2 linked regions of the Saccharomyces cerevisiae S288C genome follow. Each later gene encodes a partner of the first gene's protein in a complex. Each region holds a gene or a part of one and is shown on either strand. Other genes may lie near its edges. A codon is read from its position in the direction of its gene.

Evidence for each region. The genes of interacting proteins can lie anywhere in the genome.
Region 2: the proteins of UBC12 (region 1) and DCN1 are in contact, whole or in part, in a crystal structure (PDB 3TDI), measured with the Saccharomyces cerevisiae proteins. Residues at the interface, in NP_013409.1 of Saccharomyces cerevisiae: Met1 (codon at 3,920), Leu2 (codon at 4,057), Lys3 (codon at 4,060), Leu4 (codon at 4,063), Arg5 (codon at 4,066), Gln6 (codon at 4,069), Leu7 (codon at 4,072), Gln8 (codon at 4,075); in NP_013229.1 of Saccharomyces cerevisiae: Ile90 (codon at 3,276), Asp91 (codon at 3,273), Leu93 (codon at 3,267), Val94 (codon at 3,264), Ile97 (codon at 3,255), Leu104 (codon at 3,234), Glu105 (codon at 3,231), Thr109 (codon at 3,219), Leu110 (codon at 3,216), Ala113 (codon at 3,207), Leu121 (codon at 3,183), Glu122 (codon at 3,180), Leu173 (codon at 3,027), Ile174 (codon at 3,024), Leu175 (codon at 3,021), Asp176 (codon at 3,018), Glu186 (codon at 2,988), Gln189 (codon at 2,979), Tyr190 (codon at 2,976), Leu193 (codon at 2,967).

The regions. Positions count from the first base shown.
Region 1 is NC_001144.5:740,232-747,767, forward strand, and holds UBC12 (NEDD8-conjugating protein UBC12), read left to right. Parts: upstream 1-3,919; coding exon 3,920-3,922; intron 3,923-4,056; coding exon 4,057-4,620; downstream 4,621-7,536. Other genes in the region: 1-phosphatidylinositol 4-kinase STT4, read right to left, coding at 1-3,632; chitin deacetylase CDA1, read left to right, coding at 5,389-6,294; DPA10 (Dpa10p), read right to left, coding at 6,617-6,880. UniProt on the Saccharomyces cerevisiae protein: Accepts the ubiquitin-like protein NEDD8/RUB1 from the UBA3-ULA1 E1 complex and catalyzes its covalent attachment to other proteins. The major substrate is CDC53/Cullin.
Region 2 is NC_001144.5:396,812-402,166, reverse strand, and holds DCN1 (NEDD8 ligase DCN1), read right to left. Parts: upstream 3,638-5,355; coding exon 3,635-3,637; intron 3,541-3,634; coding exon 2,734-3,540; downstream 1-2,733. Other genes in the region: snoRNA-binding rRNA-processing protein DIP2, read right to left, coding at 1-2,510; APC2 (anaphase promoting complex subunit 2), read left to right, coding at 3,848-5,355. UniProt on the Saccharomyces cerevisiae protein: Required for neddylation of cullin components of SCF-type E3 ubiquitin ligase complexes. Neddylation of cullins play an essential role in the regulation of SCF-type complexes activity.

The DNA.
Region 1 (7,536 bases):
TCACTTTGAAATAGTGTGCCCTCGAAATGGGAAGCAAAAAATTTAATAACATGAAGATGTGGTTGCATAGCTTGGGATGCATTTTTTGCATCTCTGTTGATACCTGCTTTGTCGTAAGGGGAATATTCCATTTTTTGGTATTCTTCGCCCTTTAAGTCATGATCGCGAGAATAGAGACCAATATTGTCATCAATGGAGCGCATCCAGCAATAGCATACTTCAACTAAAAGCAAATGTGCAACTTCGGGCTTCTCAGTTATGATTGTTAACCATACGTTTGTAGCAATCTTTAAAGATGCAGAGGTGAAGACTTCGAACGGGATGTGCACAATATCATATATCAATGACGCTGGTGCACCATTGCCAAGAATTAACAACGCGGTAGCCATATCAAGAAAATCAGTTACGTCTTTAGTTATAATCTTATTTCCTAAGGTCAAATTTTTTCTTATGTTTTGAGTGGAAATACCTATTTGCCTTTTGATATCCTCTGGTGATGATGTAATAGCGGTATCGAAAAGATATTTTGACCTCCAAGAATGTAAAGATATAAATCCAGAAATCGTGTTAGGTTTCTCTGGACCATAATAAGTAAGCCTTGATAATTCCTTATCTGCAGGTAAAATCAAACCAGCCATATCCATGGCAAATGAGACACCAAATTCAACAGAATTTAGCCTGCTGTACTCACCGAGATCTGATATGTATGATTGCAACAAAATCTTAGTATCCTGGTTGCTTCTATTCAATAGAATTCTTACCCATTCTTTAGCTGACTTGTGCAATCTTGATAGTGTCGTAGCGCGCCAGGACGATGAGCTTGGAACCAATATTGTTGTCTTAGAATGTTTTAATTTAAATTCATACCGTGGTTCAAATTTATGCGCCTCTGAGTCCAAGATACTATCAAATAGGGCTGTTAACATATCTAATAAGGTGTAGAGAGACAAATGATGACATAACGATGATGGAATAGATCTGATAAATATTTCACAGGCATGAAAAGCGGCATCCTGCAAAGTTGGTTCCCTATGAGAAAGGCAAAGTAGCAAGTTATTAAGTTGTTGAGCAATCATTTTGGAGTTGAATATGGCATCGTTACCCTTTTGAATCAACCTAGCATATTTTCTAATCATGGAAACCGACAAAACTGCAATACACTTCTCAATTGAACCGGAAAGAATGGAGGGGTCTGAGAAGTACAGTAGAGTCTTCGAACAATCACCTGCCTCGCATCTTATCGTTTCTAGAAGAACGGCAGCCGCTAAAAACATGATTTTAGACGATGAAGTTGTTCTGTACTGAACAATATTGGTATTGAAATATTCGGTTATCTGCTGTTTTTGTTGTTTGATATTTTCGTTAGATGAACCGCGGCGCAAAATTGTATTCATTTCCAATGAAAGCTCCTTGTTATTAGCAGGAAATTCAGAAGCCAGCGGTGGTGAATTATAGGCAATAGTTAATAAGAAAGAAAAATTTCGTTTGACAATAGGCCCGCCCAAGTGGTACCCATGGATGACAAAATTAAACCAGGCGTTCCTAAACTTGTTTGTAGTGACTTCATCCTTATTGATGTCCAATGGCGTATCGCCTGGAACAGGTAGTAGAGCGGCGAGGGGCTCTAAGTAGGTAGCGATTTGATCAGCAACACGGGAAATCTCCGTTTGAGGTCTGTGATGTTCCAATCGTTCTACTTCCCCACTGGCAATGATTGAGTCCAATAGATCATGAAGATACATGAAATATAAGTCACTTGAAAAATGCCTGGCCAACAATTCTTTTGATATCACACATTTCGCTTTAATAATATTTTTCAATAGTGCGCTATCATCAATTTTTGTTGCAATAACAGTTCTCGATTTGAAGAACTTTAGTAAAAGCGAAAATTCTGTCAGTGAAGTATTCGGAGCCAGTCTTGCCAAAGAATTCAAAATAACACCGTCTAATTCCTTTGACATAGAATTAACTTTTTGCGTAAGAATAGAGATAGTCAAAGCTGTTATGCTTTGGGTGTTATAGTATGAGGCGATTGTAGTCGTTGCAGCCACACAATTAGATATCAAAGAGGCATGGTATGTCATAGTAGCTCCACTATTGACATCATGGGAGGAAAGTTGGCCCACAGTTGTATTTCCGAGCAGAGCACCAGTGCCATCCAAACTGGCAGATGAATTTCGCAAGGGAAAGTAGTCTTTCTCAATATTTTTTCCAGATGTTATTGTTAATTGGCGCTCACGGAGCACCGGGACGGGCGATCCGTCCTCGGAAACAGCTAATAAGTTGTTCATGGAATAAATTGTACTCACAATTGCATCTTCATTTAGAGGGTATAACCCTGTGGTGAATATTTTTGCAACATCATTAACTGTTTCAGTCGTGATATGTGGAGACGCTACCAATAAAGGAAACATACGAATCAGAGTTAATGACAATTTTTCCGTGAAAAAATTCAGTAATGAGGCAGAAGCTACAATTGCTTTTATCAAAGATGGTGTAACGACATCAGATAAGAAAAATTTATCAATAGATTCAGAAACAACGTTTGTAAAACTTTCAAAAAGCTCGCTTTCTGTATCTTCTATAAACGGAATTAAACATAGCGTTTGTAGGTAGTGGGCTCGAGTATCAAAAGAAAATCTTGCACGGTTGTCTGTAGATAGGTCGAGAATATGTGACTCAGAACAAAATTGCAGGGAAATTTTACACATGTCTGTAAAAAACTGTTTATTGCTTCTTACGTTGAAAAAAAAGTCATCAATACACTTCGTATCATCGTTTTCATCGGCTACTTCTTGATCAAATTTGTAAAATTGGTATTGTTGATTTAGTAAGAACTCACTCAAGTTGGCGCCGACATGTGAAGTGTTTAACAGATGAGATATTAGCGAAACTTGCAAGCGAGATATTAATTCCAATAAGTAGGCACTGGATAGCTCATTTCCAGCATCGTAATACTGGACGATTGAATCATTGGTAAACGTTGCTGAGGAATTCAAAATCTTATCAACTTCGTTTAGAAATGATCCACGAAGCACAAGTTTCGCTAACTTTTTCCAGGTGAATTTAGTAAGCTCTGTAGAGTTGGGAAACTGGATAAATGCATTAATAAAGCCCACTAATGATAGTAGACCAGATTGTTTAATAGTAAAAATCTTTAATACACGCTCAAAATAAGTTGAAATGATGCCGCCTATATTTTCATAAAGAACGGGATACTGTTCACAAGCTTGAATCATAAACTTAGTCAGCTGGAAAGTTAGCAATTCAATCGGATTTCTCATCTGTTCCAACTTGAATTTCGAGGACAGAACATCTGAAATTCTTTGTCTTGGAGTTTCCAGAAAATAAGGCGCAATTATTTCTTTAAGCATTGTCTCTACCAGATCGAGCGTGGTAGGGATTGCAACACAAAGCGAAGTTAGTACTTCCCATTCACTCAATGTAAGTGGTATAGTATATATCTTTGACGTATTTGTGGAATAAAAAATAGGCAATGTATGAGTTATCAAATCTAATGTTGTACCATTACTGTTTTGATCATTTGGTGCACCCGTCGAAAGTTTAGTTAGTCTTCCAATAGCTTTCGCTCTTAAAGATGAAGAGGCTTTCAATCCTCTGGTAAATCTCATCTGCCTTAAACGAGTGGCGTTTTCGATTGCTGTAGTTATCTTTTTGTGATCTAATTTTTTTCTTGATTTACAATAGTTATTAATGTTGAATATGTTTTTTCCCACAACTCAAACATCTTCGCAGTATTCTTGAAAAAAAAAAATACTATTAACGTACCTTCATCCCTGCGCGTGCCGTTTGATGATATCAGCCAAAAGGTAAAATGAGATGAAAAAGGCCAATCATTCATAAATGTACTTAGAGACATTAAAGAATCAGTTAGAGAATATAAAACAAGATAATAAAAATGGTACGTAGATGCAACTATATCTTTCCGTTTCTCATTGGCGGTTTTTAGCGATCGAAAATACTAACATAATCTTTTTGGGGGGTGAGAATGTATATGTGTACTGGATATGTATATTCTTGGCTTTATTCAAATAGTTGAAATTACGCCAATTACAAAAGAAAAAGCAAAAAGAAAATGAAAACAGCAGTTCTATTCAGCCTAATTTATCGGCAGCAAGAATTCGTTTGAAAAGGGACCTTGATTCGCTGGACCTCCCACCAACAGTGACTTTGAATGTAATAACATCACCAGATAGTGCGGATAGATCACAATCGCCGAAATTGGAGGTAATTGTTAGGCCTGATGAAGGATATTATAATTATGGATCTATTAATTTCAATTTGGATTTTAACGAAGTTTATCCGATTGAACCACCAAAAGTTGTATGTTTGAAGAAGATCTTTCATCCAAATATCGATTTAAAGGGGAACGTTTGCCTAAATATTCTTCGAGAAGACTGGTCGCCAGCTCTAGATTTGCAGAGTATTATAACCGGGCTTCTTTTCTTGTTCTTGGAGCCTAATCCCAATGACCCGTTAAACAAGGATGCAGCAAAGTTACTGTGTGAGGGTGAGAAAGAATTTGCTGAAGCTGTGAGATTGACCATGTCTGGAGGTTCAATTGAACATGTCAAATATGATAACATAGTTTCTCCTTGAGTCAAGTTCAGAGTAATTTTCGGTTGATTTGATTATATATAAACAATAAAATTATAGATAATTGTGACATACTAGGCGAGTTGTCGCCTTGGTAACATCTTGCTACCGCCATCTTCTGTTAGTTTACGCCTTATGACCAACATTCCTTATATTCTCGTTCAAACTTTTGTCTCGATATTTTGCAGGTACCTGTAGAACTTAATGTGTTCTATTCAAAATAAGTATAAAATTTCTGGCCAGTAAAGGCAAACAAAACATAAAGATATTAATACGAAAAATTTCTTGAAGAAAACAAAAAATACTTCTTATAATAAAGAAACAGCGAAGCCATGGCTATTGACAAGATAATCAGGAAGGTGAGATACCCTGGATAGAAGACTAAGAGAGAGCAGGAAGTTGAAGAACGCAATCTCAGCTATCGCTAATTCTTACAAAAAATAAAGATATTACAACTATGGAAGAAAAAAATGAATGACTATACTAGTTAGTAATATTTAACAAGATAACGCTTTCTATTTTCTGTAAAAAAAATTCTGTCTCATGCACTTGGAAGCAGCTTCAACATTTCTCTTTTCCAGATGTCACATTTTCCGGACCGGCCGTCATTCAATCGCAATTAAAAGAGAAAAATACCAACAAGTGGGTTGATTTACTTTTGTGTTTTCAAAAAGACCAATAGTTCTAACAAAGTAGATGCTTAGAAGTAAGCAAAGTGGAATATAGAGAAACAAAATTAAGTGATAGATTTACTTTTACACAAGAAAAGAGATGAAAATTTTCAATACAATACAATCTGTGCTGTTCGCAGCATTTTTTCTAAAACAGGGAAATTGCCTTGCGTCAAATGGGAGTACCGCATTGATGGGGGAAGTAGATATGCAAACGCCCTTTCCAGAGTGGTTAACAGAATTTACTAATCTTACACAATGGCCTGGAATTGACCCACCTTATATTCCGCTAGATTACATAAATCTTACTGAAGTGCCAGAATTAGATAGGTACTATCCTGGCCAGTGTCCCAAAATTTCTAGAGAGCAGTGCTCATTTGACTGCTATAACTGCATCGATGTTGATGATGTAACTTCGTGTTTCAAACTTTCCCAAACATTTGACGACGGTCCGGCCCCGGCGACAGAGGCATTGCTCAAGAAATTGAGACAAAGAACCACTTTTTTTGTTCTGGGGATAAACACTGTTAATTATCCTGATATATATGAGCATATTTTAGAGAGGGGTCATTTGATTGGTACACACACGTGGTCACATGAATTCTTGCCAAGTTTATCAAACGAAGAAATTGTAGCCCAAATTGAATGGTCAATTTGGGCTATGAATGCCACAGGCAAACATTTCCCCAAGTATTTTAGGCCTCCATACGGTGCAATTGATAATAGGGTTAGAGCTATAGTAAAACAGTTTGGCCTAACGGTTGTCTTGTGGGATCTCGATACTTTTGATTGGAAATTAATCACTAATGATGATTTCAGAACAGAGGAAGAAATACTTATGGACATAAATACTTGGAAGGGAAAACGGAAAGGTTTGATCTTAGAGCACGATGGTGCACGAAGAACAGTTGAGGTTGCTATTAAAATCAACGAACTTATTGGTAGTGACCAATTGACAATTGCAGAATGTATTGGTGATACAGACTACATCGAACGCTACGACTAGAAGTAAGATTTCCGAGAAATAAAGTTTCTCTCTATATATCTTTGATCTCTTATTTAATTATTCAACTCGCAAAAATAAAAAGAATATTTTGTTATTTCAAAAGTAAAAAAGTATGTATTAGAATAGAGGACATATATAAAAATCATATATATCGATGCTTGAATGTATAAGGAAAAGCGTCAAATTATGAACGGTAGGTACTTAGGATGCTGATGTCACATAAAGTCAGAGGGTATAACTTTAAAAAGTAATTTTTTAGAATCTTTTAGCGTCAAAACGTTACACGTACATTTGAACAGTGTTAAGAGTAGATTAATTCAAATTATACTTTTACGTGCTCCGATACAGTCTCTACCTCTTCGTTGTCAGTGCAAATAACAATTGGCTTATCATGAACTGTTCTTGGAGATGGAGAATATCCTTTCAGACTCGTAATATTGATGACGGTAGTTATTCTGCGACATTGAGTAGTACTAGCATCCCTTATAACCGGAATAGTTGTTGATGTAGGTGAACTTTTTGGGACATAACACTTGGCAGTTGTTTGCAAATTTTTTGTGATCATTGATATGTTTCTTAGTGACATTTTTGATGCTATTGTTTTTATAGTGTAATTGCTATGAGTTTATTTTGTTGACAAGTATACTTGGCTGTCTTTTTTATATAATAACGAAAATGTGTAGTGGAAAAGCAGGTGTGTTTTGTCTTATATCTTACAAACTATATAGGCTTATATAGTTTTTTTTCAAAGATTCTTATTACTGCACAAAAAAAAATAAGATCCCAAATTGAACATTAACATTAGTCATATTCAGGGATGGCTCATCACGAACAGCAAACTGAATAATTTTCTTGTCTGCGTTCCTTTTTTTGTGCACCAATGGATGTAGTATGCGCACCTGATGCGCATAATAGATTGCAATTACACTGACTACAACTTACGTATATGCGTTTTTATTACTTTTCTATTGCAACGGCCTAAAGGAATTCGATAAAAGAAAGAGTAGGCAAGATAAGCCTGAATTTGGCTTTCGGCTGTTATTTTTACTTCCGCTAAATTTTCTTTGTTCTTCCATTGTTTTTTTGCCTTTGTGTTCTCCATTAATCCATCCAATTTTAATGTCGGATTAATGGAACTTTCTATTAACCCATAAATGCCACATAGTACGGCTGTAGCAGTGAAGGTTACAAAAGGACGGGTAACACATGAGAAACATGCGTCAGGGAACAAACTAGATATTT
Region 2 (5,355 bases), 350 kb from region 1:
TCAATAAATTTTAAAAATTTGAGGACATATGAGAATGGCATAACCATCAGTGCATCTTCTAACTGAGACATTCTTATTCTTAACAGGGTATCCATAATATATTGCTCAGGAGTTTTATTCACAGCAATTAGAACAGCGTTACCCTGTGGTTTTATTGGCGCTTCACCCAACTTCTTTCTTTGCCATAGCTTCATATCTCTGTTATATGCCTCTAAACCTTCAATCTCAGCAATTCCTAAATCTAGCGCCTCCATAAGTCTTTCACCAGCCTTTAACGATTCTAAAGTCTGTTTATGAACACCGGATGCTTCATCTTCAACGCCTTCACCCGATGCATCAGCTTTAAATGCATCATCACCGTTTCCTTCTTCCAAAGAAGTTAGCAATGTATCCTCGTACTGTTCTTCAAGTTCTTTCTCCTTTTCCTCTTCTAAAAATACCTGGTCCTCGGTTTCTTCCCAGATTCTTATACTGTGATCATGGGATGAAGAAACAACAAAGCCGCCATCAGTAGCAACCGCCAAAGCCCAAACTTCGCTCTGATGAGCGTATAGTTTTTGAATGCATTCAAATTTCTCGCCATCCCAATATTTCACCACTGCGTCTTTAGAACAACTAAAGAAGTTGTGAGACTGTGGTAAGAATTTAACGTTCATAATCGAATCCTGATGGGCAAATAAAGACTTGTGACAGTCACCAAAATCTAAACCCCAAATCTTGATATTTTTGTCTGCGGAAGACGTAATAATCATCTTAGAATCAAATGAAATATCGATAGATAGTACAGGTAATTTGTGCCCATATAAACTTAGGTAAAACTTCATTGAGTCCAAAAAGAATACCTTAACAGTATTATCCAGCAACGAGATGGCTAGATATCTATCGTCAGGAGAAACCCGTACACATAAAATGTCGTCAGTTAATTCCAAAGTTGTATCATGGTGCAGTTTTAAAACAGGCAGGAATTTGTTCTTGGTACCTGGCACTAGGCTATTTTCAACTTTGAAATCCCAAAACTTGACAGTTTTATCGGCAGATCCGGTCACTAATCGTTTACCATCTGAGGTCAGATCTAGCGACCAAATTGCCGCATCATGTGCATCTTCAATGGTATCCAAAAGACTTGATGATGCTAGATCAAAGAGCTGTAACTCCCCGTTTCTTGTACCCAGTATGACTAGTAGCCCACCTGGCAAAAACTTACAAGTTAATGCATACCCACATTCGAAAGTTCTGATACATTTATGTGTTTTGATATTCCATATTTTCAATGAACCATTGGATGCTGTGGCAAGTAATTTGTTATCATCACTGATGTCAATACTACGCACATCCGTTCTTTGCCCTTGCAATTCAATAGTATGTGTCTTGAGAGGAGCAGGGCTTGTTGGGTCTCTTTTTTCATATGGAATGGAATAATACTCTATGGTATTACTCGATGTAGTTAATACCAACTCAAGTTTGGAACTTGAGACCGTTGTCCATGATGCAGATTTTATTTTATACAATGATCTTATGGTTTGAAAAGGATGCAATATAAAGGAGGAGTAGGATTCTTTAATAGATTTTGCAATTTCTTCTTCTGTCAACCCCTTTTCTTTTAGCCTCTTCTCTCTTTTCTTTAAACCTCTTGCTATTTCTTCTTCTTTTCTAATTCTGAAAGTCTCGATGGTTTTATCAGCATTTTGGATGTAAAAAAAAGAGGTTTTGTCAGACGAATTTGTTATGAACTCAATCTTTAACCCACGTTGCTTACTTTGCTTTTCGAAAATACCCATCTCTGTTAGTTTCCCCCCCATTTTGTCATTTTCTATATCCAGTTTCCAAATTTTTACTTGACTATCAGTACCAGTTGTGATCAGTAAATCATCCTTCACTGCAAGGCCCCAACACTCTCCAGTATGCGCAATATGTGTCTCTATACATTGATGTGTTTTTAGGTCCCATAGCTTGATCATTCCATCTTTGGAGGTGCTGATCAGCCAATCTTCTCCTTGACACCAAAAGCCAGTAATGGAATCCTTGTGTGATCTAAGTTTATAAAGACCAACTTCTCCAACAAGATCCCATACAATGATATTGGAGTCCTTGGAACCAGAAATTAATCTTGTGCCAGTCCCATCAAATTGTAATAATGTTATAGCTGCTTTGTGACCGTTAAAATTCAAAAGCACAGTCTTAGACATCAAATCCCAAACTTTAATGACACCATCTGCGTAACCGACAGCTAATAAATCCGTATCTTTATGAGCCTCCAAATATGTACACTCGGCTGGCTTGGCGCCTCTAGCATCAGATGCGCCTGGAGGTAAGCCATCGGATAATTTACTGACCAAATCCCCGGTCTTAATATCCCATATATTAACGTCCTCGAGAGCACTCGTAATCAATTGTCCTGGTCCACTACCATTACTATTTCCGGATGACGCAGGTATCCAAACACAATTGGCATTGGAGGCTATTACACCAAAAGCAGCTGCTTGCTCAAAACGTTGGTATGATTTGACCATAATAGCTCTTATTCCAGTTTCTCTGGTCCTTCTAGTGGCTACTCTGATATACGTACGACCTTATACAATATCTACATCTATATTATGAGGGAACTGAAAATTTCTGAAAAATTTTCCACTGCTCATCGCGTTTTTTATTTCCGCCTTATTCCCATCTATCTTAGAAGGGTAACGTATTCCATGCAATATTAAACAGCATACCCTTAAGTATATGAAAGGATGTTTATTGCTGATCCTGTAAGCACTCATAGAACTCATCGATAATAAATGGCCAGGCTGCAGTTTCGTCGTAATCGCTTATTATTTTCTGAATAGTGGGGTATCGTTTGAAAAAGAGGAGCAGCATACGCCAGGTGTCTTTACTTATAGTGGTTTTCCCCTCATCGCGAAGGAAACGGAACCATGCCTCAAGCAAATCTGGTTCCATACGCACTGGGTACTCTGGTTGGAAAAATAGCTTCCAATACTGGATGCCTTCGTCTGTATCTATATCCTTTCGATTTGGGTCCAGAATCAAATTGAAAGCATAGTTATAAATCTGTGTGAAATATTGTAAGTCTTCATGTAATTTAACATCTAACGTCTTGATGCACTCTTGCATGTCTGAAATGGTGGAACAGCCTTGCATAAACCATGTTGACAGGAAGTCCTCTCGTTTTAAGGGTTCTTCTAGTTTCTTGTACCCCAGTAAATGGGCTAAGCATAATGTCGCTAAATCTTCAAGATTGTAGCCTAGCTCCTCAATGAACTTGACCAGTGAGTCTATATCAAACAAGTTGTTATTGATATAGTGTTCAAATACCTGTGTTAGCTCCTTCGGGTATACGGGTGGATGAGCCACAGTTGAAACCTCGTCAGTAAACGTCCCTATTTCCTTGTCATAATAATCATTGAGAGCGTAATTGATGTTCCAGTGATTACGCTGCAGGTACTTCCTGGATACCTTGGGGTCACATTTGGTTAATGAGGTGAATGATTCAATTGCCTCTTGTTCCGGGCTTGCATCCTTTCTTTTTATTTTATTATTACTCTATAATGATGCATCACATTTGAGCGCCCCTTGCCAATAAAGTGTTAGTACTTTGAAGAGCCTGAGAACTAAAGAAACGAAATTAAAAACATACCATGTCCTGAATGCAAGAACGTCTCTTCAAAAATTTCTTTTTTTATTGGGTACTTGCATGTTACTGCGTAAGTTCATTAGTTGCATCTAAATTTTCAAACCTTTGGTTACAAAAACAGTAATAGACAAAAGAGCCAAAATATCGAAAACTAGACGAAAGCCAGACTTAGCGGGACTGTAAATATTTATGGCTTATAGTTAAGGTTTTTCCATCATGTCATTTCAGATTACCCCAACTCGAGATTTGAAAGTTATTACAGATGAGTTACAAACACTTTCCTCATACATCTTTCACACAAACATAGTCGATGATTTGAACTCTTTACTTACATGGATGAGCCCTAATGATGCCAAGAGTAACCATCAACTACGTCCTCCAAGCCTTCGTATTAAGAATATCATTAAGGTTCTCTTCCCTAATAACGCAACCACATCGCCATATAGCATGATAAACACTAGTCAGGCAAACAATTCAATAGTTAATGAGGGAAATACAAACAAAGAGTTACAACTACAACTTTTTTCCACGCTCAAAGAGTTTTATATTTTCCAGGTTCGTTATCATTTTTTCTTACATTTTAACAACATTAATTATCTAAAAGATATCCAACGATGGGAAAATTATTACGAGTTTCCTTTACGTTACGTTCCTATTTTTGACGTAAATGTAAACGACTGGGCACTTGAACTTAATTCTTTAAGACATTATCTGTTGAATAGAAATATAAAGTTCAAAAATAATTTAAGAACAAGATTAGACAAATTAATAATGGATGATGATTTCGACCTGGCAGACAATTTAATCCAATGGCTCAAATCTGCTAATGGTTCCTTATCCTCTACGGAATTGATAGTCAATGCTCTTTACAGCAAAATCAATAAATTTTGTGAAGATAACATGAGTAGAGTATGGAATAAAAGGTTTATGATTATGGAAACATTCAACAAATTTATTAATCAATATTGGTCTCAGTTCTCTAAATTAGTCGGTTGTCCAGAGGATGATCACGAACTGACCACTACAGTTTTCAACTGTTTTGAGTCCAATTTTCTTAGGATAAGAACGAATGAAATCTTTGATATATGCGTTTTGGCTTATCCTGATTCAAAGGTTACTTTATTGGAATTGAGGAAAATTATGAAAGATTTTAAAGACTACACAAATATTGTAACAACTTTTTTGTCTGATTTCAAGAAATACATTCTAAACCCCAGCGTAACTACGGTGGACGCTTTGTTGAGATATGTTAAAACTATCAAAGCATTTTTGGTCCTGGATCCAACAGGGAGATGCCTACATTCAATAACCACGTTTGTTAAACCTTACTTTCAGGAGCGGAAGCACTTAGTAAATGTATTGTTATACGCAATGTTGGACTTACCTGAAGAAGAACTAAAGGAGAAAATTAATTTCAATGTAGATATGAAGGCACTGCTCTCACTTGTAGACACTTTGCACGATTCTGATATCAATCAAGATACGAACATCACCAAAAGGGACAAGAATAAAAAAAGCCCCTTTCTATGGAACCTCAAGGTGAAAGGAAAGAGGGAATTGAACAAGGACCTACCAATAAGACACGCCATGCTATACGAACATATACTCAATTATTATATAGCTTGGGTACCAGAGCCTAATGACATGATTCCCGGTAACATCAAATCAAGTTATATTAAGACAAATTTGTTTGAGGTGCTTTTGGATCTATTTGAATCAAGAGA